Linked DNA regions of Ovis aries. The protein of the gene in region 4 purifies or fractionates together with the protein of the main gene of each other region. This does not show direct contact. Links are inferred from orthologs where the notes say so. Each region holds a gene or a part of one and is shown on either strand. Other genes may lie near its edges.

Region 1 (3,777 bases), on a different chromosome or scaffold from region 4:
AAATTGATCAGAAAGTTATGGTACGCATTAGGATTATTAAAAAAAAAAAAAAGCCAGGAGAAAGGATGAATCCCCAAATTCCCACATGGGAACCCAAATCTGAAATATGCTGACATTATGTCTCCTTATTTAAGATTATTTAAATGATTAAATCTTTCATCAGAATATGGTACTAGTGATTTTTCTTTTCTTTGAAACCAAATCAGTTCATATCACCCTTGCTTAAAAAGCATCCAACAGAGGGGCTTCTTAGCAGCCAGAGAATAAAATCTAAATTCCTAACACTGCCCACAGAGTATGCAGGGTAAACTCTGGCTGGGCAGACTCTGCCAGTTTCCTTCTCCTTCTTGACCCTCTCTGTAATCACAACACATCAAACCCGTTCCTGAGCCAGCTCCTCGGTCTGGAACATTCCTCTCCAGCGCTCTGCAGGGCTGGTGCCTTCTGATCACAAAGAACCCTTTCCTGAAGACATGGCCAAAACAGCCTGGATCATCCAAACTTTTCTTCTTAGCATTCATCACTAACGGAGGCTACCTTTTTATTTATGTGCTCATCCGTCTACATTCTGCTTCCCCAACACCAGCCTCTAAGTTTCATGTGAAAAACTAGCTCACCTTACACATGGTTATATTCCAACCATCACAAGAGAGCTTGGCACAGGACAAGCACAGTTACTCTAGTGACTATATGACAAAATAATATTCTTTATTATTCCATAATATTAAATTATACTATTACTGTAAGGCTTTTGGCTAAATATTTTCATGAAAGAAAGATTAAGAAGATCAAGCCAGAGGAAAAAGAAGCTGAAAGGCCTTGCATCTTAACAGCTTATCATTACAGGAAGGGTAGCGAATCGTGCAGAAGGCAGAAACTGTGATTCAAGTTACTTACAGGGTCTACAGTTGGAAGACTGGAAAGTCTCCTCCTTTTCCTGCTTGGGCCTGGTGTAGACACAGAATGGTGCCCATCATCAAAGTCCCCACTGACACTACTGGAAGGGGAGGTAGCTCTTCTTCTCTTGGAACCCATGGAATCCAACTTCTTCTATAAGAAAGAATTAGCCATGTTCTAAAATTGAAATTTATGCTCTGCCACCAAGCCCTCAGCTGGCCACCTGCTACCAAGCTTCAGATATGTTCACTGTTGCAAAGAAGCTTAACTATGCTTTTTCAATGCAAGTCCTAGACCCTGCTTTAGCTCCTTCACTTATCAGAATGCTACACTTTCCACTGGATGGGACAAATTCAGCAAAAGTATACTCATCTGTATTTACCAATTTTGAATGACAACCACTTCTGGCCTCCAATTTACCTTGGAATGGAGTTTGAAAATCCACATAAAACAGTACACCCACATATAATGGTGTGCTGGTGTACTACCTCAGGGTCAGAGACCCTAAGGAGGTCAGCTCTGGAGTGAGCAGCCTCATCTGTTTTCCCCAGAGTTCCTTACGATTATGACCACTTTCTAGGAAGGCCAGGATGTGTGTGTTGGGGGGAGACCTGCAGAAGCAGACCCTGTGACAAAAGAGTAGGGGGATAGAGGACTAACCTTCTAGCATTTCAGATGTACCCTAAAATTAACACACTGAAAATGAATTTTCTCCATTCAGTAAAGAAAGCTTCACAAGACATAACCGAGAAAACACTCAACTTGCCATGCCTATGCTAACTAAAGTAGCAAAACTCCATTTGGAAATTTTTCTGTCAATTCAGACTAACCTTTTCAGTTCTATGAGGTATTCCCCATGAGCTCACAACTTTACATTTCAGCAGAAGATCTGGAAGAATACCTCAAAAATGAGATTTTAGGTCCTCCTTGGCCTCCCAGAAACATGTAAATATTTGCTCTAGTTTTAGGCAGGCTGCTAAGTAATCTTTACACAACTTTATATATATTTGACTATAACATAAAAAATGCAACCACTGAAATGACCTGCTACATCGAGAGGGGAAGGATATATACCCAAGAAGGTCCTACAATGCTTATACAATTTAACAACAGTATCAAATAGGATACTGTGATTTCAAAGGTCTTTCTTTAAAGAAAAAAGAAAAAACTGATCCTAGGGTCTCTTATCAACATCCAATTTCAGGAAACAGACACCAGCAGCTGAAAGAATGGGTTGCCAGTAATATGGAGAGAAAAACTGGGGATTTGCAGGGAATCGCAAACAGGAACAAAACAAACCAACAAAATAAAAATTCTGGCAGCCAACTAACAAACAAAAGAAGTCTCTAACCTCTTCCCCTCAACCACGGCCCACATGGTGTTTAAAAACTGAGCCTAATATCACGAGGTTCCTTCCCCTAGGACTTAGTTTGTTATACAGTCTATTAGTTTGCTGCAACTGGCTAAGGCTTCAAAGGACTTAGGCCAAGGCCAGCCAAGTTTTGTTATTTTTATTTGTTTCATAAAAGGCTGATAAACTGGCCTCAGTTGAGTAAGACGCAGAAACTAAGGACCAAGCTTTTATAAACAATCTATGACAAGGACTCAAGTGAATCTGATGAACATAAGGTGGGACTCTATGAAAAGGATAACAAAATTTAAGAAAGGTAGAAGGGAAAAGCCAAAGGACAGAAAAGGGAAAGGATGTAGATGATCAGTAATTTACCAGCTTTACCAGAGCACAACCAGCTCCTCGAAAAGCCAGTCTCCTCATTATGTCTGAAGGCCAAGTGAAGCCACTGGGAGAAAGCAGGGCTTTAGAAGTGCTGATTCAATGTTAATGTATTCAAAACTGAAAGAGAAGAACAAGGCAGAGAAGGGGGAAATAAAAAGAAGGGTCAAAAGGAGTAAAAATGATTACGAATAGACAGAAAACATTCAAGCAGAACTGCGAAAGAAAGAAGAGAACTGGAGAAAATAAGTGTATCAGTTCTGCACCAACCAAACTGCTGCAAAGGCTCAGGCACCAACAGTATCTGATATTCCTTCCATTGTAACACCAAATGCTTTTCACATGCTTAAAGATGTCTCACTGAGGTTCCCCTTTACTCACATGGAATGACTGTCAATTCCAGGAACGAAGCATGCCTGCCCAACTGCCCCCTAGTCAATAAGAGCAGAGTTCAATCACAGCTGGAATGGAGCATGAACACATGTGAAAGGCTCACATGCGACACCAACTGTTAGCAAGCTGGAACAAACCAAGAATGGCTTATGGTGAGCAGTCTGGTAAACTCCTCCCCACCAAAAAATCCAGAGAGAGACATTTCTTTCCAAAAGTCCTATCAGCATTGAAAAGATATTACACACAACTTTACAAAGGTTGTTTTTTTTTTTAAAGCCTTTCAACCAATTGGCAGAAGGTCAAAATTACTTTTATAAATAACTCACTGAAAATCAAATAAAAAATGTACATCATTGGGGGGGAGAGGGCATGGTGTATGCTGTGTGTCTGTTAGTCACTCAGTCGTGTCCAACTCTCTGGGACCCCATGGACCACAGCCCGCCAGGCTCCTCTGTCCATGGGATTTATCAGGCAAGAACACTGGAGTGGGCTGCCATTTCCTTTTCTGTGTGTGTATCAGTTCAGTTTAGTCGCTCAGTCATGTTCAACTCTTTGCTGCCCCATGGACTGCAGCACCCCAGGCTTCCGTGTCCATCACCAACTCCCAGAGATCATTCAGACTCATGTCCATCGAATCGGTGATGCCATCCAACCATCTCATCCTCTGTCGTCCCCTTCTCCTCCCACCGTCAATCTTTCCCAGCCTAAGAGTCTTTTCTAGTGACACAGTTCTTCGCATTAGGTGGCCAAAGTAT
Region 2 (4,505 bases), on a different chromosome or scaffold from region 4:
CGTCCCTATCTTGGGAACTCATAGCAATGAAAGATAAGTAAAGAAATCATTGTAATATGTGAAGGCGGCAAGAAAGAAGGCTGAAAGATCAGGATGGAAGGCAAAACTCCTGTGAAACTCTGGGTGCCTTAGTCGCTCAGCTGTGTCCGACTGTTTGTGACCCCCATGGACTGTAGCCTACCAGGTTCCTCCACCCATGGGATTCTCCAGGCAAGAATACTGGAATGGGTTGCCATTTCCTTCTCCAGGGGAATCTTCCCGACCCAGGGATCAAACCTGCGTCTCCCGCATCGCAGGCAGACTCTATCGTCTGAGCCACCAGGGAAACTCTGGGTTGAAACACAATTCCAATAACCAAGGAGCAGGACATGATGCTTTCAGCTAACAGAACTGAGCCTCACACTGGCTTTTGGAAGAGGTGAAGGCCAAGCGCCATGAAAAGATGACTTTAAGATTTCGTTTTACAGAAGAGGGTACTTTTGAGATACGCCTTAAAAAAAAACGAGTAGCTGTTCTCCCCTCCCCACACATACCTGGGGAGGGAAAGGCAAGTAACATTCTTGAATAAGGGTGCAGATTACAGATGGCCAAAGTTGGGGAGCCTGAAGTGTGACTTCTGAAAGTTTCGAGTCCCAATGTGAGCACAAAAAAGCAAAAAAAGTAACTGCTGTTATTGATTTGATTCAGCAAATGACATCACAAAAATATAGAGACTGTGATGTAACAGAAAGAAGAATGAACTAAAGACTTAGAAACTGGAATTAATTCCTGGACAAGCCACTCATTTATTCAACAAATATTTAATCTACGACCCTCTGCTAGGTCCTGGGCACACAGAACAAGATGCACAGTCCTGACTCTCCCGAGCCTGAATTCCAACTGTAAACAGACACCACACAACTCATTTCAGTTAGAAACCGGATCATTAGATTCAACCACATCAAACTGCCATTTCTGCAGATAAAAGAGGCAAACATAGATGTCTTATGGTTCAACCTAATGCCACTGTGGAAAGTTCCATTTAGGAGAGGACCCGATTTAGACTGGGGCTCTTGAAAGGTTTCGGTGAGGAAGCAACTGCAGAGCACAGCCAGGCAATAACTAGGCAAGTGGAAGGAGTGGGTAGAGGAGAGTTGCCAGGCGGAAGGAAAGGTAGTGTGGCTCCAACTGAAAGATGGCCAGCATCTTGCGAAAGAGGGCAGTTTGAGCCAGTCTAGTGAGGTATGAAGGATCATTTTTGGTCTTTATCCTAAGGACAAGAAGAGATCAATGAAGCATTATTTCCTAAGCAAAAGAGTGCTAAAAAATTCACACTTGAAGAAAAATACAAAGTAATGAATGGACCAGGGAACTGAGCCAGTCCTGAAGCAGGCACAGATCACAGGGAGCCGGGTACAGAGTTCCAGGTGACAGAAGATGCTCAACTGCCCTTGGCTGCAGATGAGGAGAGAGATGGACAGAAGAGGAAGGGATGCCCAGTCCTAGGTTTCACAAAACCTAGACCATTAGATTCGGAGAAGGAAAATCATTAACTATTTAACTAGTATTCTTAAGTCCTTAGAGATGAGGAACTTGGTCCTGTAGCAAAATGGACAAATAAACATGCAAATAAAGTCCAAGGTAATGATGACCCTCAGTTTTCCAGGTGGCTCAGTGGTAAAGAACCCACCTGCCAAAGCACAAGACGCGGGTTCGATCCCTGGGTTGGGAAGATACCCTGGATAAGGAAATGGCAACCCACTCCAGTATTCTTGCCTGGAAAAAACCCATAGGCAGAGGAGCCTGGTGGGCTACATGGGGTCGCAAAGAGTAGGACGTTACTTAGCGACTAAACAGTAACAATGACTCTGAAGGGAGTGGAGGGTGAAGGGCAGGAAGTCTTGGAGAAGGCTTCCTGGAGGGAGCTAACACCTACCCGGCTTTAAAGTTATTAGTAAAGTAAAAGTTATCGGTAGCAATCAGCTAGAGAAAAGTACTCAAGAAGTTGGTGAAAACACCTGGCTGTAAAAACTTAGGGTGATAACGCACTGGAACTCCCGGTACAAAATAGGCGGTCAGCCTGCGCCTGCAATGAACATGACAGGAGCCGTTTCCAAACAAGGGGGAGATCCTGATTCTTCTACTAACAGCTCCCAGGTCACCAAGAGAAAATGCCTATCCAGCTCGCGCGCGTGCGCCCTATTAGGAGAAAGACAGCAATTTTTATTCTGACTCCCTGGCCCCGTGGCAGGTGGCTTGCCTTAAAGTTCTCACCTAACCGAGACGTCTTAATACGCAGAGTGCTCAGTCTGGCCAACGGGAACCCCTCAGAGATTGTTAGTTAGTATACGGGACAGTTCAAAACGCAAAAGGTTCCTCAGGCAGGCGGGCGCGGAGACTACGCCCGCGCGGACCCGCAGCTAAACAAACCCCCCAGACTCCGCGTCGCCGGAAGCCGGCCGCTCCCCGCCCGCGCCGCGCTGCCGGGGGTAGGGGGAGGTGGGCGGGCCCGCGGGCCGGGAAACCCTCTGATTGGTCGCGGCCGGCGCGGCCTCTGACCTCACGCCGACGCGAGCGGCTCCCTCCTCCCGCCTTCTCCGCTCCCCCCTCCCCCCAAGCGCCTGCCGGTCGGCTCCCACCCTGCCCGCCAGTTCAGCGCTGCTCTGGACCCGGGCCGGCGGCCTCCCCCACCAGCACCCTTGGGCCTGGCCCCTCACCATTTCCGCACTTTCTCGATGGCCGCCATCACCTTCTTGATGTCATCCTTGGCCCGGCTGCGGGTCTCGGCCCGGACCGACCGACCCGACATGGCGGCGGCGGGAACGGCGGGGGCCGGGGCACTGCTCCCAAGACACCGAGAATCGCGCGCCTCACGCGCCGCCGCCCGCCCGGCGCAGCAGCGTCACCGCAGCCGTCGCCCCCTCCGTGCGCGCGTGCGCGAGAAGTGCGCGCACCCGCCCTCCCCTTGGGGCTCGAGGCATCAGCGCGCCTGCGCGCTCCGCCCCAGGTGCCCCACCCCGGGCGTCCCACCCAACAGGCCCCACCCTGGGGATCTCAGAGTCCCCTGGGCTCCCCAGCGAGCCAGGGTCTGCGGGCCAGCTGGCAGCACGTGTTGTGTGCAGGGTGAGGTGCGAGGCACTGCCAGTGGGGTCTCTGGCTTTTTCCCAGAGCAATATCTTAATTCTCTGGCCAGGCTGCAACCATAATCTATATTTTATGGACTTGACACCAGTGTTACTGAGGTTCTACACTATCCTGTACAGCTGTCTCTCCTGTTTGGCCCCTCGCTCCCCAGATACACCAATGTGCTCCAACTGTGGAGAATTTCACACCTTCAGTATGCCTTCCAACGTTTGCACACCTCTGTTCTCACCTGGAATTCTCTTATCTCTTCTTGATGACCACTTACTCTTCCAACATTCAGTTAGAATTCCAACAAGACTTCCCCCTGAGATCCTGAGGTGCCAGTTTGTCCATACTTGACACTCTACATCAATGTCTCGTTTAATTCAGCAATCGTTGATTAAATGATGCCTGCACTGCGAGAGTTGGCAGGCAAAGTGCTGAGGACAAAATTGGGTTTTGCTTTCAAAGAGCTTCCAGTTGAGCAGACCATGCAGACCAGAAAACAAGCATTTCAAATGCCATTTTATAAATGCTAGGTTAAAGGGAAGTGCTTTACAAGGTGCAGCCTTAATCTAGATGAAGGGTGTCCAGAGGCATCGGGAAAAAATGACCTTGAGGTTGAATTTTGAGAATACAGTAGATGCAATTGCTCTAAGTCCTCACTGTGTCCACAGACGCTGTAGATGCTCAGTAGATGTTTGGGTGAATAGTCAGTCTTCAGTGCAGCTCCCTGTCTTCCCGTCACCCCAGGCATTTATTCATGCTTTCCGTATGCAGAGAGGGCCCTGAAGCAGTCGCTTCAAGAAACAGAAAGGAAGCAGGTGACAGTTTGCATTGCTTGGTAGCGGCTACTTCTTTCACCTGTAGAGAAACTTCCTTCTGTGTAGCCAGAGAACTGTCTCACTAACCCTGAACCTGACATAGCATCTATGACTGTATCCCCTCTGTCATCCACTAATATCACGGCTCGATAAGCACGTATCATCTTGCTGATGAGGACCCCAGGAATAGTGTCTGCCCGCCTGAGGAATGAAAGAGCTGAACTACCATGTGGAGGGAAGGATGGGTCTGCTAATAGTGGGATCAAAGGTAGCACATGTTTCTCAAAGCCGTTGATTCAAAATAACTGAACCAAAGAGCTATCTTGAGTATCTGCTACATGCCCTACAGCGGTGGACACTGAGGCAAGGATGAGTAAAACACTCCCCCTGCCTTTCAGGTGAGGATAAGGAAAGCAACAGAGAAAGAAAACTCAAGGCAGAGCATGCTAGGTGTGGTGACAGAGGCCAGCTCTCTAGAATTCTCTGGTTCTCTTCTTAGGGCCCCCTGGTCTAGGCACAGAGCCCCAGGCAGTTCTCTCTCACCCTGTCCAAGTCCTGGCCAGTTCTCCCTCCGAGGTT
Region 3 (3,777 bases), on a different chromosome or scaffold from region 4:
AACACTGGAGTGGGTTGCCATTTCCTTCTCCAATGCAGGAAAGTGAAGTTGCTTAGTCATGTCCGACTCTTAGTGACCCCATGGACTGCAGCCTTTCAGGCTCCTCCATCCATGGGATTTTCCAGGCAAGAGTACTGGAGTGGGGTGCCATTGCCTTCTCCTGAGTACATTGCTGCTGCTGCTGCTGCTGCTGCTAAGTCGCTTCAGTCGTGTCCGACTCTGTGCGACCCCATAGACGGCAGCCCACCGGGCTCCCTCATCCCTGGAAAAGGTCCTCCCAATTACCTTTTCAAGGTAAAACATGGAAGAACAGTGCATTTCCCCCTAAAATCATAATTACGCATCAGGATTTTTCAAGAGAAATGTGACAGGAAAATGACTCACCTGTGGGACCACATTCTGTACGTATGTTGGTGGATGCTGCTGCTTCTGCTGAACAGCACTTTCTATTGCTACTTTAGCTACAGTGCTTGGATCTGCTCCTGCTGGCACCGCAACCATCGTTGCACTGCAGCCAGCATTGTTGGGGTCACTGATTGTAACAATTCTAACTCCCACTTTATTTGGAATTCCTGTGACTGTTTCCCTATCATTATCCTCTGCTGGCCTCTTTACAGTTTTGCATTCTGCTGTGCCATTTGTAGACCGAACGTCAGACAACAGGGCAGGAGAATGGGACACTCTTGATCCTGAGTGGGGAACGGCTATGATTTGATGCCCCTGTATAACAGAGGTTGCAGAATGTGGTGAGACAACTACACTTGGGCGTTGCTGAGGCACATCTGAATTCAAACTTGAAGCTAGAGGTCCATTAGGCAAATCAGTACCACTAAACTGCTGTGTTGCCACATTTGAGGCCTCCTGTATACTGCTCACAGATGGTGAAACACCCAAAGTTAATATAGGTCCATTAGAAGTTCTTTCTAGTTGATCACCTTTGGCAGTATCTTGCTGAGTGGCATCTAAAGTCCCTTGTGGTTCCATTGGAGATATCTCACCATTTCCTACATGATTGGAAGTTTTGTGATTTGGAATGTTTTTGCTTAAATGAGAACCATCTCCTTTATCAAAATCACAGATTCCATTAACTAGAGGTTTTTTCAAATCACTTTTAATATCCTGCATGTCCATTTGTTCTGAGTTCTGTTTTCCAGATGCTCCATTCTCACCTAACTCTAACGATGGCCCATTACTGATTAGTGAGCACTGATTAGCCTCACTTTGAATTTTCCCTGAGTTTGAAGGAGGTAGACTTGAGTCACTGTATTTTCTCCCATTTAAAAGACTTCCCACCTGCATTTCATTTTCCTTTGTATCCCCATTGCTGGTGTTTGTGGTTCCTCGTCTGCAGGACGGGTTCTCCATGACTTCAATTTTACGTTCATGAACATGTAAACCTGTTGCTTCTTTTGCTTCCTCCTCCTTTTGGCAAATTATTTTATCACCTTTGAATGGGGGAGTAGCAGTGGTACAAGATGATTGTCCAGCTGGAGATGCTTGAGTGGCTGGAAGCGTTTGCACCTGAAGTCCAACTCCTGCCTGGGTCCCGCTCATGGTAATTCCTGCTGGAGCAATGAGCTGAGTTGTATTTCCCTGACTCACAGTTGCAGTTGCAAAACTTGTATTTGGCACAACCGTTATGGTTACCTGGTTGCCAGAAGTCCCTTGGAAAATGGTTGCTGGGCTATTTGAAATCAGCGGGCCTGGCAATATTTGTAAGTTCGAGATGGGCACGGTTTGCACTCCCCCAGTGGGTGGCATTGCACTTTGGACCAACTGAACATTTTGCTGCCCAACCAATAGCTGCTGAGCTGGAGTTTGCCCTTGCACTCCAAAACCTGCTGCTTGGTTATTGGCCACCTGGTACACCACCTGAGGACTAGGAGCTCTTGCATTATTTGGGGGAGGAATCTGTGGAGCTGGGAGAATAAGCTTACCACCGGGAGTTGAAGGACCACGCTTTGGAAGCAGCAACTGTTTTATCAGACTCGACTCACCAGAAGCAGGCTGACCAACTCCTGCATTCGTTTGCTGTGGTTGAACTTGCATCTGTACTTGTTGTGGCTGCTGAACTTGTACTTGTACCTGTTGTGGAGGTGCTGGTGAATGCTGCTGCTGTTGCTGCCTTTTCACAGACAGCATTTGACTGACAGTAGGAGGTGGTCCCTGCGGTTGAGGGGTGGAAGAAGATGACATGGCAGTAGGGACCTGGTTAGTAGTAGCTGGGACAGGTGATGGTGAGGAAGATGGAGTAATGCTTGGTTGTCCAGTTAGCTGAACTGCCTGGCCAGCTGGAAGAGCTGCTGGATTAGCAAGAACAATTTGGTGAATGGCTGGTGCATAAGTTTGACCTTGTTGAGCTGGCTGGCTTACAATCACTACACTTTGTTGGGGTGGCTGCTGTGGCTGTTGAATAGGCTGTTGTACCACTGTTGATGAAACTTGCTGAGAAGGGAGAGGTTTTGGTGCAATGTTTTGAAACCCTACCCTTGAGGGTTGCGGACTTGGGACACCAGCAATGGTAACCATTTGTCCTGTAGCTACCTGAAAATTCTGTACTGAAGTTGCTGAGACAATATTGGATGTAGAAGTCGTTACATACTGTGGGGGTGCTATGATAACAGTGTCCTGTGGCTGGCTACCAGCTGATGTCTGCTGAGATGAAGTTTGTACAGGTTGGGGTGATGTGGTGATTAACTGTTGACCCTGTGAAACTGTAGAAGTACATGCTGGTATGTTCTGAACTCTGCCAAATATATGACTCTGTGGGACAGCTTGCTGAATCACTGTAACAGGAGTGCCAGAAGGTATCTGCCCCGGTACCACTGTGTGTAATGGAGACTGCTGTGGAATTACTGATGGATGGTGAAGCAGTGTCTGGGAATTTACAACTGTAACAGGCTGTGGCCCTGTACTATGATTCTGAACCACAGAACTCTGTGCAGCTCCTCCTCCCACAGCAATACTAACAGGAACTGCTGTCTGGGGTATAGAGTTCTGGATTACTGTAGCCTTAACAACTTCACAAGGAATTGGAGCTTTATTTTGAATGACGGTCACCGGAGCATTTTGCTGCTGGTGGGTATGAACTGAAGGATTTGGTGGAATTCTTGAAACAGTCTGTGCCACAGTATGAACACCTTGTACTGGAAAAGACATTTGTGTTGCAGTCAAACTTGAAGATTGGTTGGTAACAGGAGTCCTCTGAAAATGGTTTCCTACAGTTTGTGGTCCATGAGGGATTCCTGAAAATATAAGGAAAAGTTAAAATTCACAGTGAAATGACTGAAAAGCAGCATGTAGAAATTATTTTACTTAATTTCAAGAGAAAACAGTTTTAAGAAATTAACAACTCTGCATTATATGAATATGATAAAATAGAATAAGAAATAAAATGTTACTGAAAAACAAGGACAAGTCATACATCTTAAATGTATATAATACATGTTTTCATTTAGCCTTCTTATTAAATTGATAATATTTAATCACAATAAAAATTAATACCTGCGGGTGAAGGACTTGGAGATACATCAGGTACAGAATCAACACGAACAACAGGAGTAGAAACAGGTTGCTGCTGATAGTACATCTGAATGGGAAGTGGGATAGCCCTACGTTTTACTCCTACTACATGAATATGCGCCTGCCCATTGTTACTGGAATCCTCCACTCTCTTCACTGTATGATTTGGAAAGACTGTTCTGTAAAGTACACACACATTCAATTTTAATAACTAGCACATTAACAAAAAACACTGAATTCTAACAATGTTTACAC
Region 4 (2,598 bases):
GGATGGAATCAATAAACATTTTCTGTGAGACTAGATAGAAAATTTTCAGCTTTTGTGAGTCAGGCTGTCTTAGTTGCAACTACTCAACTACACTGCTGGAGCCCCAAGGCAGCCACAGATAATGTGTAAACAAATGGTTCCAATAAAACTTTATTTACAAAAATAGGTGGCAGGCAGGATTTGGCCTGCAGGTTTTATTTGCCCAACTCTGTTCTAGGACACCAAAGATGACTGATCTTAAGGGCAAGGACCACATGCTGTTTAAACAATTTTAGCAATAAAGGTTAAAATACTGAGTGCCAATACCATGCCAAATCCAGTAATGATGATTTTATATACATCTGCTTCTTTATCCTTGGGAATTCAATTTCAAGAGGTGGGTGCTAGAATATTTACTAAGGAGGAAACTGAAATTAACTTACCTAGACTGAAGGTCACAGTGCTAGTATGGGGTGGAACAGTACCCAGATCTGTGGGCCCTCCAGGCCAGTACCCTTAACCGTTAAACCACTACATTCAATACTTTATATCCCAAGTAAGGGAATGATATGACTCAATCTGGGCAAATACCCAAGACCTCAAACAGCCAGACTAAAGGCAACACATCACTGCTATTTTGTACCAATACCAACACTTTAAGTGAATCTATTATAAGAGATTAAGATTTAGGAAGAAAGAATGCATATGTCATATGGAGAATAATTCAAGAGGCAAGATTAACAGAGTGACCTCCAGAAAGCACTGAGAAAGGAAAGTCAGAATTAAAGACAGCTGTAAAAGCCCTCAACATTTACTCTGCGATCACCTGGCAGGCTACCTGTCTCCATCGGCATGCTCTCGTCCTCCTTCTTGTCTTCGGTCTTGCTCGCTGCTGGCTCCTCTTCAGGAACGATACTGCTCTGGCTGCGGTCGGCTTGCTCTGCCGCCTCTTTTTCCCTTTCCTCCTGCCTTTTTCGAGCCTGCTCCTCAGCTTGTGCAATTTCAGCGGCAATTTTTTCCATATCCACTTCTACTTTCAAACCACACAACTAGTAGTCAGAAAACAAAACACTCTCTTAGTCATGTTCTTTTCTTACAATCTCTGAATCAGAGAAATTATTCACAAGTGGGTTTTCTTGGCTAAGAACTATATTCATATATATGGCAGGAAAAAAACCAAGCTCTTGTGTCTACAGGAAAGTTGCCCTAGCAGCCATGTAGTATCAAGTGTTCCAGAATAGTTGGTGAAGCAACGCTGAAAGCACTGGCTTATACTCAAAGCTTCTGTTTTACATTTCAGGCTGCCAAACACTCTATTTACTTGTTTTCGTGTGAAGTGCAAACTGTGAGCTACAGCTAATGAAGACATTTGATGAGTAAGTTGCAATGAAAATAATTCACAAGTGTATGAGAGTTTAAAATACCAGAGGGTTCTAGAGTCTCAGGCCTAGTTCAGGGAACGTGTATACTATACAATGTTTCAAACCTATTGCAACGTTGCCAGAAAATGGAAATTATTTTATAAAGTAAAGATCTTACCAGCTACAGCAAAGTTAACCCTGTTTCAAAGTGAATGACACTACATAAAAACACTATTTTGGAAAAAAGAATGAGAAAAAAAAGTAACAGACACAGTGATACAAGTATAGGTAACACATTCCATACCCTTTTAAGCTCATTGTTAAATGAGTCTGTGCTTTCCAGGAATTTCCTCTTCTTTTCTTGGTGTCGCTCCTCTATTTGAAGAAGTTCAGCTTCTAATTTTCGCTGTAAAAGATAAGACCAAGCTTTGTTATTTACTACTAAATTATCTTCTCTAAAGCTAATGTCAAACACAGAAAATATGTCTCTTTTTTTTAATGGTCCACACTTTTTCACAGTGTGATAAGTGTTTCGCTTTTTAAATTTAAATTACTTATTATATAATGTGCTAAAATTTAAAAAATGTAAAAATGCAGCACAGAGAGGATAACTCATTAACAAGAGTAAGTTAGACAATACTGTCAGCTCTCAGCAATGTTTTGGAAGAAAAATATTTAGTAGGCTAGTAAAAGTTGATAGGATATCTCAAAATTCTTAACAAATACACTTTCCGTCAAAAGGTTCCCTGTTACAGTTTTAATGACAAACTTACTTAATCTCTGGGAAGGGTCTACGCCCTCCAGCCTCTTCCCTGAATCAGGAACGGGTTATATTGGACATAAATATTTAACAGGCACACTCATGCATGGTACATAATCAGGTTACCGGGCACCTACGGCACAGGCCCATCTTACCATAACAAATGTTTTCTGTCTTTACCTGATGAACCATTAAGGACTGGACCTGTCGTTTAAGAACCTGCATTCTAGCTGTTGTGACAACTGACCGAACGTCTGGCACCACACTTTCACTAAGGATTTCACTGATGAGGCGGTGGTTTCTCTGGAAACGGGCGGTGGCTGTATGCTTCATTGAAAAGCCATCATCATAATCTGGAATAAACAACATGATCTGGAAATCAGGTCACCAATTACCATAATTAGCACTTAGTTACCAAGAAGCCATGGTCCTCACTGGTCTAATAAGTGGGTTTAAAGGGTGTCAAAGGAGCACCAGGGCAGTCACTGGATAAAAACC
Region 5 (4,281 bases), on a different chromosome or scaffold from region 4:
GGACAGAGAAACCTGGTGGCTACAGTCCATGGGGTCACAAAGAATTGGACACAGCTGAGCACACACACCTTTTACTCCTGAGTAAATGGCTTCCAAGTTTAGGGGTGAAGTGATATTTCTGAGAAAACATGAAGCAATGAGGGCAATTTTCTAACCTGGTCTTAAAAACATTCCAACACGATACTGGAAGCTGACTTTGCGAAGAGGTAAGAAGGCTGTTTTACTTTTTTGTTTGGACAAGGGTGCCCCAATTCACAGGGAGAATGATTTTGAGAAGTTTTTATGATTAGAGATGGGAAGGGGGGCTGTGGAATGATAAAAGTAATGAAGTATCGAAGATGGACCGGTAGTATACCTGTTTATTTCTGTCAAGGAAAGGAGACTGAAGCAGAGGAGTACCGTGTAAGATAGACACAGGAGCAATGAGTAGGCCCAGAAACCAGTTATGGAAAGTGTGAAAATCTGGATGAACTGTGCATTAGATCTAAAGCGGAGTGTTAGGTCTGATCAGGAAAAAAACACTGGAATAAAAGAGCTACCAATTTTAAAAATTAAACTACAAACATTCATTTTATAAGCAAGTTAGTTAAAAATACAGTTTACTAAGTTAATTACACACAAAATGTGGGTGGGAGGTTTCGTTGCCTTTTACAGTAAACCTTTTGGGAAATGTGACCCACTATAAATACTGGTCATACAGTAGCAGCTCAAACACAAAATCATACACTTATTTTTGTCAGTTTTAAATACTTTATATGTGAAACAGGCTTTAAGATATACTCCTCTACATGAACAAAGTGATGTTTATTCTGAATATCTAAATCATACATGAATATGCTGTGGTTATATACTTGAAAAATGACTTAAAATTTTTTTAATGAGAAAAGGTTTTACTGAAATGCCTTTTCTTTATCCCAGAAGTTCCTGTTGCCCATTTGCTAGAAAGTTATGTAACTCTAGGCTGGTTAATCTTTTCTATGCCTTATTTTCTTCTTTAGTAATATGGGGAAAAGTAGAACCACCTCCCATGGCTGTTGTGGATTAACTGACAATGCATGTATTAAATACAATGCATTACAAGCCTCTGTCATGAAGAACAGTTCCTGGTACACAGGATGCACTCAATAAATGTTGACTGTTGCAATTATTGGTATCCATTTCTACCTTACTCACATTAAAATACTCAGTGGACAACCTTTAGGTCCTTAGATGAGTGAACCTGAGAGTCAAAACAATCAGCAGGGACTTCCCCATAGACAGCAGCCCACCAGGCTCGCCCCTCCCTGGGATTCTCCAGGCAAGAACACTGGAGAGGGACTTCCCTAGTGGTCCAGTAATTAAGACTCTGTGGTTCCCACGCAGGGGGCTTGGTTCTGTCCCTGATCTGGAGACTAAGATCCCACAGGCTGTATGGTGAGGCCAAAAACGAAACAAAACAAAAAATAGAGTCTGCAGCCTCCACGAGCACGTATACTCAGCTTTTTTGTCAGAATTACATCTTCAGGTGGGGAAAAAGTAAATCATGAAGATCCACTAGGCTTTCTCCAAAGTAACAATGGAAAACTGATTCTTACACTTCAGAAATCAAAACCAAAAACATATATGGAGAAGGAGAGGGTGAGGGCCAGCGTGTCACCTGAGCAGAAACTCAAGCTTCACTTCAAAACTACTAAAAACTTTGAAAAGCTTATTTTCATCTCCTACCTATAATATTCCATCCGCTCAGAAAACAGTATCCTTACTGAACACAGTAACAAAAGCACGACTTTGAGTTTCTTTCTTCTCTAATTCATCAAAAACATGAATCATATACATCAATGCTTCATCTAAGCATCTCGAAAAAACGGAGGCTCCAATTCGGTAGATTTAGAGTGGGGCTTGAGATTTTACATTTCTAAAGAGCTTGCAGGTGATGCTGCTGCTGCTGCTCCTTGGATCATACTTTTAGTAGTAAGTGCAGCATTACCGCCGTTTAATCTTCACAACCACCCCAATGGGTAGGAATTATCATTCTACAAACGACGAACCTGAAGTTGGCAAAAGTTAAGTAACTTACCCAAGGCCAATGAGCTTACTAAGTGGTGAGGCTGATATTACAACCCAGGCCCATGGTAATCTTTCACTACACAGGAGCCCACCCATCTTTAAGCAACCTTAAATTGCATATGTTCCTAAATTACGCCGGTGCAGAGTCGCCCACGAATAAGTCCGGAGCATCCACAGTCAACAAATAGGGAGAAGTTATTGAAAGGCGTGAGGCTGCGTGAGCGCGGATGGAGAAGGAGGCTGTGTCCTGAGTGGCCACGACTCCTCCAATCAGTTCCACTCCTCGCGGCTCGCTGTGCCACCTCCGAGACGCCGCGGAAACCCTCCAGCCACGCCGACGAACTGCTGGGACCTCCCAACTTTAAACGGGCGCGCACACCGCGACAGAGCCGGCTGGGAGAGAGGTGACCCTGCGGCCAGTCACTCCAGCCGCGGCTCTCCGGGCCTGGCCCGCGAGTGGAGCTGCCCGACCAGCCCCGGACCGCGCGCAGCCCCAAAAGTCGGCTCCTCGGCGGCCCGAGGCTGGAAGGGGCCGTAGGGGGCGGCGACTCCCGGCGCCTGTAGCGCTCGCCGAGCCGGGTGGGCTCCGGAGGCGGGCAGAGCGCGGGGCGGGGATAGGGCGGGGAGGCCGGGGTCCCCAGGGGGAGACCGGAAGGGCCGCCGGGAAGGGGAGGGCTGGGGGCGGCGGTTACAAACCCCACAAGCTAAAAAGGCGCGCTCTCCCGACCGACCGCACTCACCTCCCCCGTATACCCCGCCGCTCATGGTTGCTGTCGACGAGACTTCTACTCGTAAAGGCCACCTGGCGAAATGACTGCAACGGCTGCGACTGCGGGTCTGCAGAAGCGCTAGCCCCCGACTCCCTTAACTTCCACCACCACCCCCCTCAGGCAACAAAGCGGCGGCCACACACACCCGGAACGCAGTCACACTTGCTGTCTCCTGCTATCGGCCAATCACAAGAGGCCCGGCTACACTTCAACCAATAAAAATAAGGCTGTGCTACAGCCTTGTCGCGGCACAGCCAGTTTAGCCAATCGAAGGCAGCCATAGGGGCGGGGAGAGAGGAAAGCGACGGAAGGAGGGAAGGAGTTGGGTTGCGGAACCGGGGAGGCGGGGCTTCTTTAGTGGGAGGGAAAGTGGGGCGGAGGGAGCTGGAGGGGGAGGAGGAAGGCTGGAGGCAACAGTCTGGGGCGGGCTCAGGATGTAGCTGGGAGCGGAGGAGAGGTGGGAATCCGGTAGAGCAAGCTAAGCCTCTGAAAAAGAAGTCTGGAATTTGAGAAAGTGTCTCCACCAGGAGTACCCGTGGTTTGGGCTTGTAGTGAATGAGGGTTGGTGTTTTTTTGTTTTTTGTTTTTATTTTTTTCAGAAAAAGTATTTTCAACTAACTGAAAAAATTGAATGTTATCCTCCACTTTGGGGTAGAGGGCATCAGTAAACCAGACAAACCGATAAGACCCTGGAATTTTAAAAGTGGTTACTAATAATTAAAAGAAGGAGATGACACAGTATCCCAGTTAACTTTAGTAGCGCTTAAAATGTGTCATCAATTCCTTTTATCCTGTGAGGCAGGTGTAATACAATGTAATCAGTCCTCACCTGAGCGAGCACCTAATCCTAAACACATCTCGGAACGGTCTGTTCTTAGTCCCCTGTGTCTACCAACCCAGTCAGATCACCGTTGTCCCTCTCCCAGGATTACTACAACAATTTGTCCCTTTGCCTCTTAGCAGGCAGCTTGATCTATAAAAACTCCCAAATCACGGTCATGTTGTAAATCCTTGAGGTTAATAGCCGTCCTTAAATTAGTTTGTCTAGAGTCTAGACATATAGGTAGTTTTTAAGAACAATTGATTAACTCCATCAATCTCAGTGCCACAGAGTGGCAGAAAGTGATTGTAGGATAGGGAACAAGGCTAGTGAGAAAACCCTTTACTATTCACTTAGTGTAATCTCGGTTGTTGTTCACTCACTAAATCGTGTTTGATTCTTTGTAACTGCATGGACTGCAGCCCACCAGGCTTCCCTGTCCCTCACCATCTCCTAGAGTTTGCTCAAACTCATGTTCATCCAGTCAGTGAAGTGAAATGAAGTTGCTCAGTTGTGTCCGACTCTCTGGGACCCCATGGACTGTAGCCTACCAGACTCCTCCGTCCATGGGATTTTCCAGGCAAGAGCACTGGAGTGGGTTGCCATTTCCTTCTGCATCACCAGATGGTGATGCCATCCAACCAT
Region 6 (4,395 bases), on a different chromosome or scaffold from region 4:
TCAGCACCCATGAAGGTGTCTGGAATATCCTGACTCAGAAGTAAAAAGATCAGGCTTGGCTGCAAGTCACCACATATATGGACATTTAGTCAACCCACGTGGATCTCAGGTATGCTATTGACTAGGGAGGCTGAACTAGATAAGCTCTGACATATTCTACAAGAGGGAGACTCCAAGCATGAGAAGTTGAACACAGTAAATCTCTGTCGTTTATGTTCGTAACTCAAGCTGCAGCAACAAACCCTGCTCTGGAATCGAAGAGGGGCTTTCATGGGGCAGCCACTGAGGCACAGCTTAGAACGTTCCCAGCAACCAACAAAGACATACACTGCACGCAGGCAGTGACATCACAAGATAGTCTGGCTTGATTCAATGTGCTGTAATGACTGTAATTTGAGGTAGGCATGAAGCCTGTGCTGGAGAATAAAGAGAAGGAATAGGCTCATATTTGCTCGCCTTTAGGAGGCAGCCATGTCCTCACTAAACAGAGGAAAATTGGATAAACAAGGCTGAGTGCGGCAGCGCCTTTGTTTCTGCTGATGGAAATTGATACTGACACTGTAAGTCAGATGGAAAGAAGGGCTAGACAGGCTGAGAACTGCAAAGTCAGAGCAAGGAGGCTGGAAACTGTCGGGGGTGGGGTTGAGATATGACGAGAGATGTTCTATCAAAGCTCCGGTGAGTTAAATGGGATTTCAGAAGGTGGGGCAAACTGCATTGTGAGTGAGAGCTGATAACGAAATACAAGTTGGAGGAAGAGAGGATCTGATGAGGATAGAGCAAAAAAGAATGAGAGAGCTCTCTTAAGAATCTAAGGCTCCTACAAGAAATTTTAAGCTAACATTCTCCAGATCTTGTTACCTAACTCAGAGGATTTCAGCAACCACAGCTCTTTTATACTATTATTTTGCCCTGTAAGACCTCTTAAAGATTGTTTCAATTCTGACACCACGTTTGGGAGGGATGGAGAATTTACAAACAGGAAAATTCTTCTCCCAGAACAAGATGCAAGTCAGAAAAGATGAGCTAGTAGTCCTGACCTCAATGTAAAACCTCAGCAGTCAGAAGACTAGGCACACCGTGGTCAAGAAAAGCGTCTCTTTACAGGATGAGAATGGTACAGGAAGACTGGAAGTCTCTTTTTAAAGAGCAGGTTCTGTACGAAAATGTATTAACTGTGGTCCACAGCTCTTTACAGCTAGAACTGAGGAGTAGAAAGTTGGTTATTTATTACTGGTACTCAGGAATCAGCAGTTGGTGACCTTCACTATCTCTACAGATCTTTAAAGAGAAATAAGAAGTCAAGCTCTATTTAAACGGGCAACCCCTCACTTCCAATACTGCATGAAAGGGTTGGTGACCTTATTTCTCAGATGAAAGTCTTCCAACATAAACAATCTCACTACATAAAACTCTTAAACCTAGGCAAGTTTTGACATTCCCCCATTACAGTAAGCTTTCCAAGGTAGAAGCTTTGATTCTTTTTTGAGAGGCATGAAACCTGTGTAAAACCTCCCTTTACAATGGGACAGGGGCAGTCAACAAAGAGAAAGACAGGGAAACAAAGAAAGAACATCTGAGTCAGTATGGATAACATATAAATGGTAGATCAGCAGCGTCATTTCTAAATTGAGGGAAATGTCAGCTTGGAGAGAGTGCTGGGGAAACTGAAGTGGGTAGATCAGAGAGGAAGATAATAAATAGTGCTGGGAGTAGGGGTGGCTGAAATAGGCAGCAGGATGGAGCTGAAAGCACGTTAGGAAAAAAAAAAAAACCCACAAGGAGAAGGCACTTAGCTTAATGGAAGTGGGAAAGCATTCTCAAAGAAAAGGCTCCAGGCAGGGGGAGGGAGAGAAGCAATGTACTCTTAGAAAAAAGGCTCTTGGGAAGAGTGGGGCTCAGCCTACTACAAAGACAGTTGAGAAGCTATGTGCCCCTTAGAAGAGTTCCCAAACCTTTACCTTCTCACCCAGTCAAAATCCAAAAGCCAAGCTGCACAACTGGTCACCTCATTTTTCCTACCCCTGCACCAAGCCAAATGTGTCCATTAAAGAGCTTGCTGTATTGGCCGACGGGGGTGGGGGTGCAAGAACCCATTGGAAAACTCATTGAGATTCTTCTTCGGGGAGGAGGCTGGATTAAATCAAGTCCCAAAGCATCTTTAACTCACAGCTAACAGGCCATTCTCAGTCTGCCAAACAACCATGAACTTTAACTTTGCTTGAAATCTGCCCAGTCCAAGAGTATTGCAGAGCGAAGAAGGTCGACCCAGATGCCCCTCGGGGCGGCCAGGGCGTCCTGGACTGCGTCCGTCCAGTGCCCACTTTCCGATGGCTGGGACTGGCCGGCGCCAAGCCCCTCTTCCCTGAAGTTCTTTCCCTCTGGATCTTGCTCTTCCACAAATTCTCCCCAGGAATATTTTTGGTCTCGGGTACCTGATACTCAAGGACCACCCCACCCCCGCCCCCGCCCGCCCAGGAACGTCACGGGGCTGTTCAGAACAAAACAGCCCTGAGCGCTTAACGGCGCCAGGGCGGCCGAGCCTGCTCCTCCGGGGCCCGCTGCGGGCAGCCGACGGGGAGGGGCCGGCGGCCAGGCTTCGCGGGGGTCGGCCCCGCTCTCCCGGACGGAGGCGAAGCCCGGACCGTGTGCCGTACGCAACAAGGGCGCCATACTCTGGAAACCTTCCGCCTGAGGGAGCGCCCAGCCCCACAGGGAGGCTGCCCGTCACGGGCTCCCGTGTGCCCCCCTCAGGGCCTCCACAAGTTTCCAAAGAAGCGCAACGTCTTTCCCGAGTCTCCTGTTGCCCTCCCCTCTAGGAGTCGCAACACGGCCTCTCTGGGCACGTCCCTCTCTCCGCCTCGTCCGTTCCCACACCGCCCCCTGCTTCCAGGTCCCTTACAAGACCTCCCAGGCTAGAAGAGAAAGAAACGGCCACTCACAGCTTCACTACATTTTCCACCACGGCCGCCATCTTCCCGGCTTCTCTCCCTCAGGCCGGGAGGCCCGGAGCCCGCAGCGCGCAGGCGCTGGGACCGCAGAGGGAACCAATTTCCTTGTCTTTCTGCGCAGGCGCCACCGGGGCGCGTGCGCCCGAGAGCGAGCGACGGAGAATGAGCTTCTGGCCAGTTCTCCCCGGCCTGGCAATCCGGGGACGAATGCGCAGGCGCAATGGAGGCGGGCGCGCGCCCCGAGGCTTCTGCTCCAGTTTTGCCTCATCCTTTTAGTGAGAAGGTAGAAGCGAGAGGATCTGACCGGGTCCATAAATGAGAAGGTGAGAGGTTGGTGAGAACTGGCAAGCCCAGAGGTGGTCTAGATGGAGGTCATGCGTCCTGTTACCTCGCTGACCTTTAACCTCGTGGTTAATAACCCTTTGCCCTCACGTACAGACTCAGGGGTTGGTGGGTAGCCGAAGGTAAGAGCAGTGCACACTCCTCTTGGGCTGCCCACTTTAGTGAGAGAAATATTAACTCCAAGAACCTGGCAGATCTTTGGCCTGAATATTTGGGTCTGACAAAAGTTCCCCCACCTTCCTGCCACCAACTTAATTGATCTCCACCTCTTCTTCCCTGCTTCCTACCCCTAAGCTCTTGTCCTCCTCTGAAGAACTTCTCTCCTGCAACTTCCTCTCCTGTACCATTCAGTTCTCCTTCGCTATTGAATCATGCAAATTCATCTGCAAACATGGCTTAATATCCTCTTTAAAAAATATCAGAGCCCTTCCTTAAGCCCTTTCTGCCTTTATCACCCTCTTTCTTTTCACCCTTTCAGAGCACATATTCTTGTTTATACTTACTATCCCTGCTGATTTATTTCCAAGTGTCTCTCTGCCCAGTTTAATGGCGATTTTGTTCTCATCAGTTCATTGAAACATCTAACAAAGACACCACGATCTCCATTTCAACAGATTTCGAGATCTCCCTGTCTTTATCAGCCTATCAGCCCTCATGACAACACTGGCCAGTCACTTCTTTTTCAAACTCATCTCTGAGACACACACTCTCCTGGCTGGCTGCCTATCACACTGCCAGCTCCTTCAGCTTCTTTTACTGGCTCTCTGTCCTCACATCTACCTAGACCCGTCAGAGTCCCCAGGGCTTGGTCTTTGATCCTGGTAATATGCCGTATTTCATCAATTCTAAGATGCACATATTCTCTGCCCTCCCCCCATTTTAGTATTTCGGAATCAGGACACATCTTACCATCATTGTGCCTTAAAATCAGGTTTGGCAGATGAGAGTTGAGTGGTATTTGTCATTGTTTACCCTGCACCAAATTTGCAGAATAGATGTCAGCAGCTTGGAAGGAAAACCTAGGGACAATACTGTTGCACTCTTGTTCCCCAAATGATTGTGGGAATCAAAGGTGATACCAAAAGAATTCATAAGTATGTGT
Region 7 (4,322 bases), on a different chromosome or scaffold from region 4:
TCTAAAATTGATCAAAGCATTAACAGTAAAACTTTATGAATATACTTAAAACCACTGAATTGTACACTTTAAAACAGGTGAATTATATGGTATGTGAGTTATATCTCAATAAAGCTATTCTTAAAAAGAAAGGAAAGTTAAAAAAACTAACCAACATAGAAAAAGAAATACCAAAAAACTTTCATATCAATCTTACTGAGAACACTCTGAGGTCTTTCCTTTATTCTGATAGTCCATTATACACTGAATAAGATGGTTATTTTCATCCAGCATCTGAAATAAAAGTAAAAAAAGTTTATTGTAAGTCTCATGCATCAAGTAAAATAAAAAATTAAGATTTCTATAAAAGTTTATCTATACAGGAACTGACTCCACAGTTCTTTTTTATACCTACAATATAGCTCTGCATAAAAGATCTTATTTTATATCTTTGGGATGTTATGTTTAATCAACAATTTCTTTTTTTTAACCACTGCCACCCAGCTTGTGGGATCTTAGTTCCCAATCAGGGATTGAACCTGTGCCCCCTGCAGTAGAAGCTAATCTGTCCTAATCCAGAATGAAGTAAACTGATGAAAACTTCAGCACAGGAGGCTTAAGGAGATAGCTGGCTAGCTTCCAAGTTTTATGTTGATGTTCAGTCACTAAGTCATGTCTGACTCTTTGAGACCCCATGGACTGCAGCACACCAAACTTCCCTGTCCTTCACCCTCTCCCAGAGCTTGCTCAAACTTGTGCCCATGAGTCCATGATACCATCCAACCATCTCTTCCTCTGTCGCCTCCTTCTCCTGCTGCCCTCAATCTTTCCCAGCAGTTTTATGCAGCATGGTTTTGTGACTTTCCAAATATGCAATAATTCCAATAATTTCTCGGTAAGTACTATATTAACCACAGACCCTATGAGCCAACCTTATAATTGTCCCAAAAGTTTAAAAACAAGCATATATTTATCATACTATGAAAACAATTCAAAGCAAAACTGGCTTTAAGGATTAAATAATGCATCTAAGCAGAGTGGTGCTGAGGAAAAAGCACTGATGTAGCAATTAAAAGGCCAGTTTTACTGTCAAGCTATCCTGAGCAAACCACTCAAGATGTCAAAGGCTCAGATTTATCAAGGGACAGGAGTAGATGTTCCTCCTCAAACCGCCCCCACCCTTCCAGGATTTCAAAGCTTTAATACCATAACCACTCTTTCTCATTAATTTAGTTAATGTAATTCTTTTAATTAAACATGAAGATCCATTTAAAAGTGTGACTTCTTTTCTGCATATGAATGTCTTTACTTGGTGGAAAAAAAAAACATTAACATGCCCTTCAAAAAAAAAATTGCAGTTTTCTTCTTATATCTACTCATCAGATGCCAAAAAAATTGTCTTTAGAATGTGTTTTAATACAATCTCCAATCTAATGATTTCACAACCTATCTTCTCAGTAGATTCCACGGTTTAACAATCTTCACCATTAGAACGTCTGGGTTTGTCTTGTATCTAACGTCATTCCCTCACGCTATACAATCAGGCACTTAATGTGGGATCCTTTTTCTCTCCTGAGCTGAGGATGAACACTTTAACTGATCAGCATCTCTTTAGTTAGTCACCCACGATAAATTATCTTAAGATGTAGGTAAGAAAAATTCTTCATAGGAAATACAAACTCAGAACTTTTCTACAGTCCAAAAAGTGAAGCCTTCCAGAAACACGTTTTGTGTACGTGTACTCGTAGCTGTTTGCCAGGTCGCAGACTTCTCCCAGCACGCTATACAAAAAGCACTGCATTTTCAGGCAATGCCAAGCGTGTCTCTTCATAAATAAAGCAACAGTTGGGCAAATGTCAAACGCCACACTGTAAAGAGCCTGAGAGTCAACAGAAGCCTATTAACATAAACTACTAGGCATACGATGGTGTCTTGACAAGTCCTGAAAGTTGACTTTTTTTCCGTTTTGATCTTTATTCCGGTGCATAAAACAAAACCAAACTATTTAGGGTAAACTGCAAAATTTAGCAAATAACTTTACAAACTCTGGTTCACTAAAATTCAGAATGCTGCAGTGCTCAAAGGCAACAAGGGGCAGAAAACAATAAAGAAACCTTTGTGTCCCCAACTAGCAAGTAACCGCGGCCACAGCGCAGCTCCCCGCGTGTGTATCACGTCTTCTGAAACTGATCACGAGGCTCAGACTGTATCCATCACTCGACCCTAAGCTCCCTGAAGGCAGGCAGGGACCATGCTCACCACCGCAGCCTCGGCGCCTACGCTTGGCGCTGCAGCTGTAAATCGGTCGGGGGTGGATCCGGAGGGGAGAAGCGCCTCCGAGAGAACCCCGAAGTCTAGAGGGTGCTCCCTCGTCCGCCTCGGAGCCTCGGCCGAGGTTTCCCGCAGCATTCCCCAAGTTCTGCTGAGAGCTCCCCAACTCGGCTGGAGTTTGCAGCCGAGCACCGAGAGCAAGCAGCGCTCCTACTTCTCCTAGGCCCACCCCGGGGACCGCGGTGGGGTCGACCCGGAGCGGCCGCCGCACCGCGCGGGGCGGGGCGACGCCAAAGTAACTCCGGAGCGACGCGCGGATCGCGGGGGGCGCGGGCCTCGGAAAACAGCCCTGCCCCGCGCGGCCGCCGCCGCCGGGCGCACGCGCCCCGCCGTGCGAACGCCGCCCCATCCCCAGAGAAATCGGGCGGCGGTTACTAGGGCTTTTGTGCCCGTAGGAAGGAGCCCGAGGGGGCGCGCAAGACTCCGCGAGGGGAGCAGTTCGCCCCCTCCGCCACCCACTCGGGCGCAGCCCCGCGGCTCAGGTTCCCACACCCGCCCGCCAGCCCAGCAGGCCCGCCTCCGCCCCCGGCGCGGCCGACAAGCCCGGCCCGAGCCCAACCCCCGGGTTCCTCCTCAACGCGGTCCGGGCCTGGCATCCCCGACGCCGCGCGGCTTCACCTTCTGAATCGCGGCGGGAGTGATCTCCCCCTTGCCGCGCTGCCTCGGGGCCGCGAACGCCACGGACATGTTGCCGCCGTCACCACTACGGGTAAGTCCCGAGCGCTCCGGGTGAACGGCAAACTGGGGGAGAGACGCCGGCCTCTCGGGCCGAACCACGTCGGGCTCGCGGGGAGGGGGGATGCTCCGGCGCCCGACGGGCAGCCGGCCTGCCCCGCCTGCGGGAGGAGCTCTGGCCCGAATTAGTCCGGTTTCTGCGCAGTACCTGGGAGCCGCGGTCCCCGCAGAACGTCCCTGTTCTCGGTCGCCCTCCGGTTCCTCCGCCTGTCCTTCCCCGCCACCCCCGGCCCTCTGCGCTCGTGGTAGGGCCGCGCCCCAGCCCTCCCTCCGCTTCAGCGATTCAGGAAATGGTCCCGCCGCCCGCGGGAGAGGGAGCGGCTAGGGCAGCCCCTGTCACAGGAAATGCGAGCGCTCGAGCCGGCCCGCCCCCTTCGCGCGGGGCCACTTGCCTCCCTCTCCGCGCGCCCGGGTGTCCCTCGGCGGCGTTTCGGCTCTCCGCTCTAGAGCTCGAGCAGTTTTGCCAACTTCATCTTCAGCCCCTCCTGGGTAGAAGTGGCCGCCCCGAGCTGTGCGGGTATCCGGAGAGGGGAGGAGGAAGGTCAGGAACGGGGAGTTTCGTGCGCACCCGTGGAGCATCTGCTGAGACCGGGCAGGGGTGGCCGGACTAGGGAAGCGCCGATTCGCTGGTTTGAATGGCTCGGCTACGCCCCGAAGTGCGCACCTCCGAGTCCACGGTCTCGTGCGCGCACACAGCCCTGCCGAACAATTAGAAAGTAAGCGCGACCCAAAATCGGGAAACGAAGGCTATGTCCTGTACTTCATGGGCAGTCGGCCAGCTTGGCTGCAGCGGCCAGAGTTCGCCTCTTAGGATAAACCCTTGAGGGAAATGTGGGTCAGTTTCATCTGACTTGCATCTTTGGAATTAGGTTTTGAAATAGGGCACCCTCGCGCTTTTCTTTTGCAATTATGTATTTAGTGGCTTGCTTGTACATGAGGCCCAAGCTAATCAGTGTGAGGGAAAAAGCCAAAAGTTTCCAAATTGTGGAAGGGACATGGGCAAAGGTCCGTAATATGTTGGTGCAGGGTTTGTTAATACACAGTAAAGTTAAACTTTCATGTAACAAGAAGGAAAAGTTTATATAAAAATGTCACCCAACATTAATGAGGCTCAGAAATCAATCCCTTGGTTTATATATAAAATAAACCGGAAAAAAAAAAGAAAATTTCCTTATTTGAAAATATGTCTCAAGTAAATGCTCTTCACAAAAAGGTCATGAGTTTCATTCATTCAGCAAATTTGGGTTCTTTTTATGTGCTAGCCTTTATTGTAGGCA

The links.
Region 1: the proteins of SMARCE1 (region 4) and PBRM1 purify together in Homo sapiens (affinity purification with western blotting; 9 studies listed by BioGRID and IntAct, counting the BioPlex papers as one, with this or other methods). This does not show direct contact. The link is inferred for Ovis aries from reciprocal best matches to the Homo sapiens genes SMARCE1 and PBRM1.
Region 2: the proteins of SMARCE1 (region 4) and BCL7B purify together in Homo sapiens (affinity purification with mass spectrometry; 3 studies listed by BioGRID and IntAct, counting the BioPlex papers as one, with this or other methods). This does not show direct contact. The link is inferred for Ovis aries from reciprocal best matches to the Homo sapiens genes SMARCE1 and BCL7B.
Region 3: the proteins of SMARCE1 (region 4) and ARID2 purify together in Homo sapiens (affinity purification with mass spectrometry; 7 studies listed by BioGRID and IntAct, counting the BioPlex papers as one, with this or other methods). This does not show direct contact. The link is inferred for Ovis aries from reciprocal best matches to the Homo sapiens genes SMARCE1 and ARID2.
Region 5: the proteins of SMARCE1 (region 4) and ACTL6A purify together in Homo sapiens (affinity purification with mass spectrometry; 9 studies listed by BioGRID and IntAct, with this or other methods). This does not show direct contact. The link is inferred for Ovis aries from reciprocal best matches to the Homo sapiens genes SMARCE1 and ACTL6A.
Region 6: the proteins of SMARCE1 (region 4) and DPF2 purify together in Homo sapiens (affinity purification with mass spectrometry; 9 studies listed by BioGRID and IntAct, counting the BioPlex papers as one, with this or other methods). This does not show direct contact. The link is inferred for Ovis aries from reciprocal best matches to the Homo sapiens genes SMARCE1 and DPF2.
Region 7: the proteins of SMARCE1 (region 4) and SS18 purify together in Homo sapiens (affinity purification with mass spectrometry; 4 studies listed by BioGRID and IntAct, counting the BioPlex papers as one, with this or other methods). This does not show direct contact. The link is inferred for Ovis aries from reciprocal best matches to the Homo sapiens genes SMARCE1 and SS18.

Annotation. Positions count from the first base shown.
Region 1 is NC_056072.1:48,268,196-48,271,972, reverse strand, and holds part of PBRM1 (protein polybromo-1), read right to left. Parts: intron 3,149-3,777; 5' UTR 3,011-3,148; intron 2,750-3,010; 5' UTR 2,672-2,749; coding exon 2,624-2,671; intron 1,051-2,623; coding exon 898-1,050; intron 1-897. UniProt on the Homo sapiens protein: Involved in transcriptional activation and repression of select genes by chromatin remodeling (alteration of DNA-nucleosome topology). Required for the stability of the SWI/SNF chromatin remodeling complex SWI/SNF-B (PBAF).
Region 2 is NC_056077.1:34,113,023-34,117,527, reverse strand, and holds the start of BCL7B (B-cell CLL/lymphoma 7 protein family member B), read right to left. Parts: upstream 2,926-4,505; 5' UTR 2,789-2,925; coding exon 2,697-2,788; intron 1-2,696. UniProt on the Homo sapiens protein: Positive regulator of apoptosis. Plays a role in the Wnt signaling pathway, negatively regulating the expression of Wnt signaling components CTNNB1 and HMGA1.
Region 3 is NC_056056.1:140,643,949-140,647,725, forward strand, and holds part of ARID2 (AT-rich interactive domain-containing protein 2), read right to left. Parts: intron 3,702-3,777; coding exon 3,505-3,701; intron 3,246-3,504; coding exon 385-3,245; intron 1-384. UniProt on the Homo sapiens protein: Involved in transcriptional activation and repression of select genes by chromatin remodeling (alteration of DNA-nucleosome topology). Required for the stability of the SWI/SNF chromatin remodeling complex SWI/SNF-B (PBAF).
Region 4 is NC_056064.1:40,585,935-40,588,532, forward strand, and holds part of SMARCE1 (SWI/SNF-related matrix-associated actin-dependent regulator of chromatin subfamily E member 1), read right to left. Parts: intron 2,454-2,598; coding exon 2,281-2,453; intron 1,747-2,280; coding exon 1,645-1,746; intron 1,029-1,644; coding exon 806-1,028; intron 1-805. UniProt on the Homo sapiens protein: Involved in transcriptional activation and repression of select genes by chromatin remodeling (alteration of DNA-nucleosome topology).
Region 5 is NC_056054.1:208,341,765-208,346,045, forward strand, and holds the start of ACTL6A (actin-like protein 6A), read right to left. Parts: upstream 2,981-4,281; 5' UTR 2,812-2,980; coding exon 2,787-2,811; intron 1-2,786.
Region 6 is NC_056074.1:39,982,806-39,987,200, reverse strand, and holds the start of DPF2 (zinc finger protein ubi-d4), read right to left. Parts: upstream 3,018-4,395; 5' UTR 2,975-3,017; coding exon 2,943-2,974; intron 1-2,942. UniProt on the Homo sapiens protein: Plays an active role in transcriptional regulation by binding modified histones H3 and H4. Is a negative regulator of myeloid differentiation of hematopoietic progenitor cells. Might also have a role in the development and maturation of lymphoid cells.
Region 7 is NC_056076.1:31,045,705-31,050,026, reverse strand, and holds the start of SS18 (protein SSXT), read right to left. Parts: upstream 3,038-4,322; 5' UTR 3,020-3,037; coding exon of another isoform or gene 2,998-3,019; coding exon 2,929-2,997; exon of another isoform or gene 2,518-2,928; intron 274-2,517; coding exon 197-273; intron 1-196. UniProt on the Homo sapiens protein: Appears to function synergistically with RBM14 as a transcriptional coactivator. Isoform 1 and isoform 2 function in nuclear receptor coactivation. Isoform 1 and isoform 2 function in general transcriptional coactivation.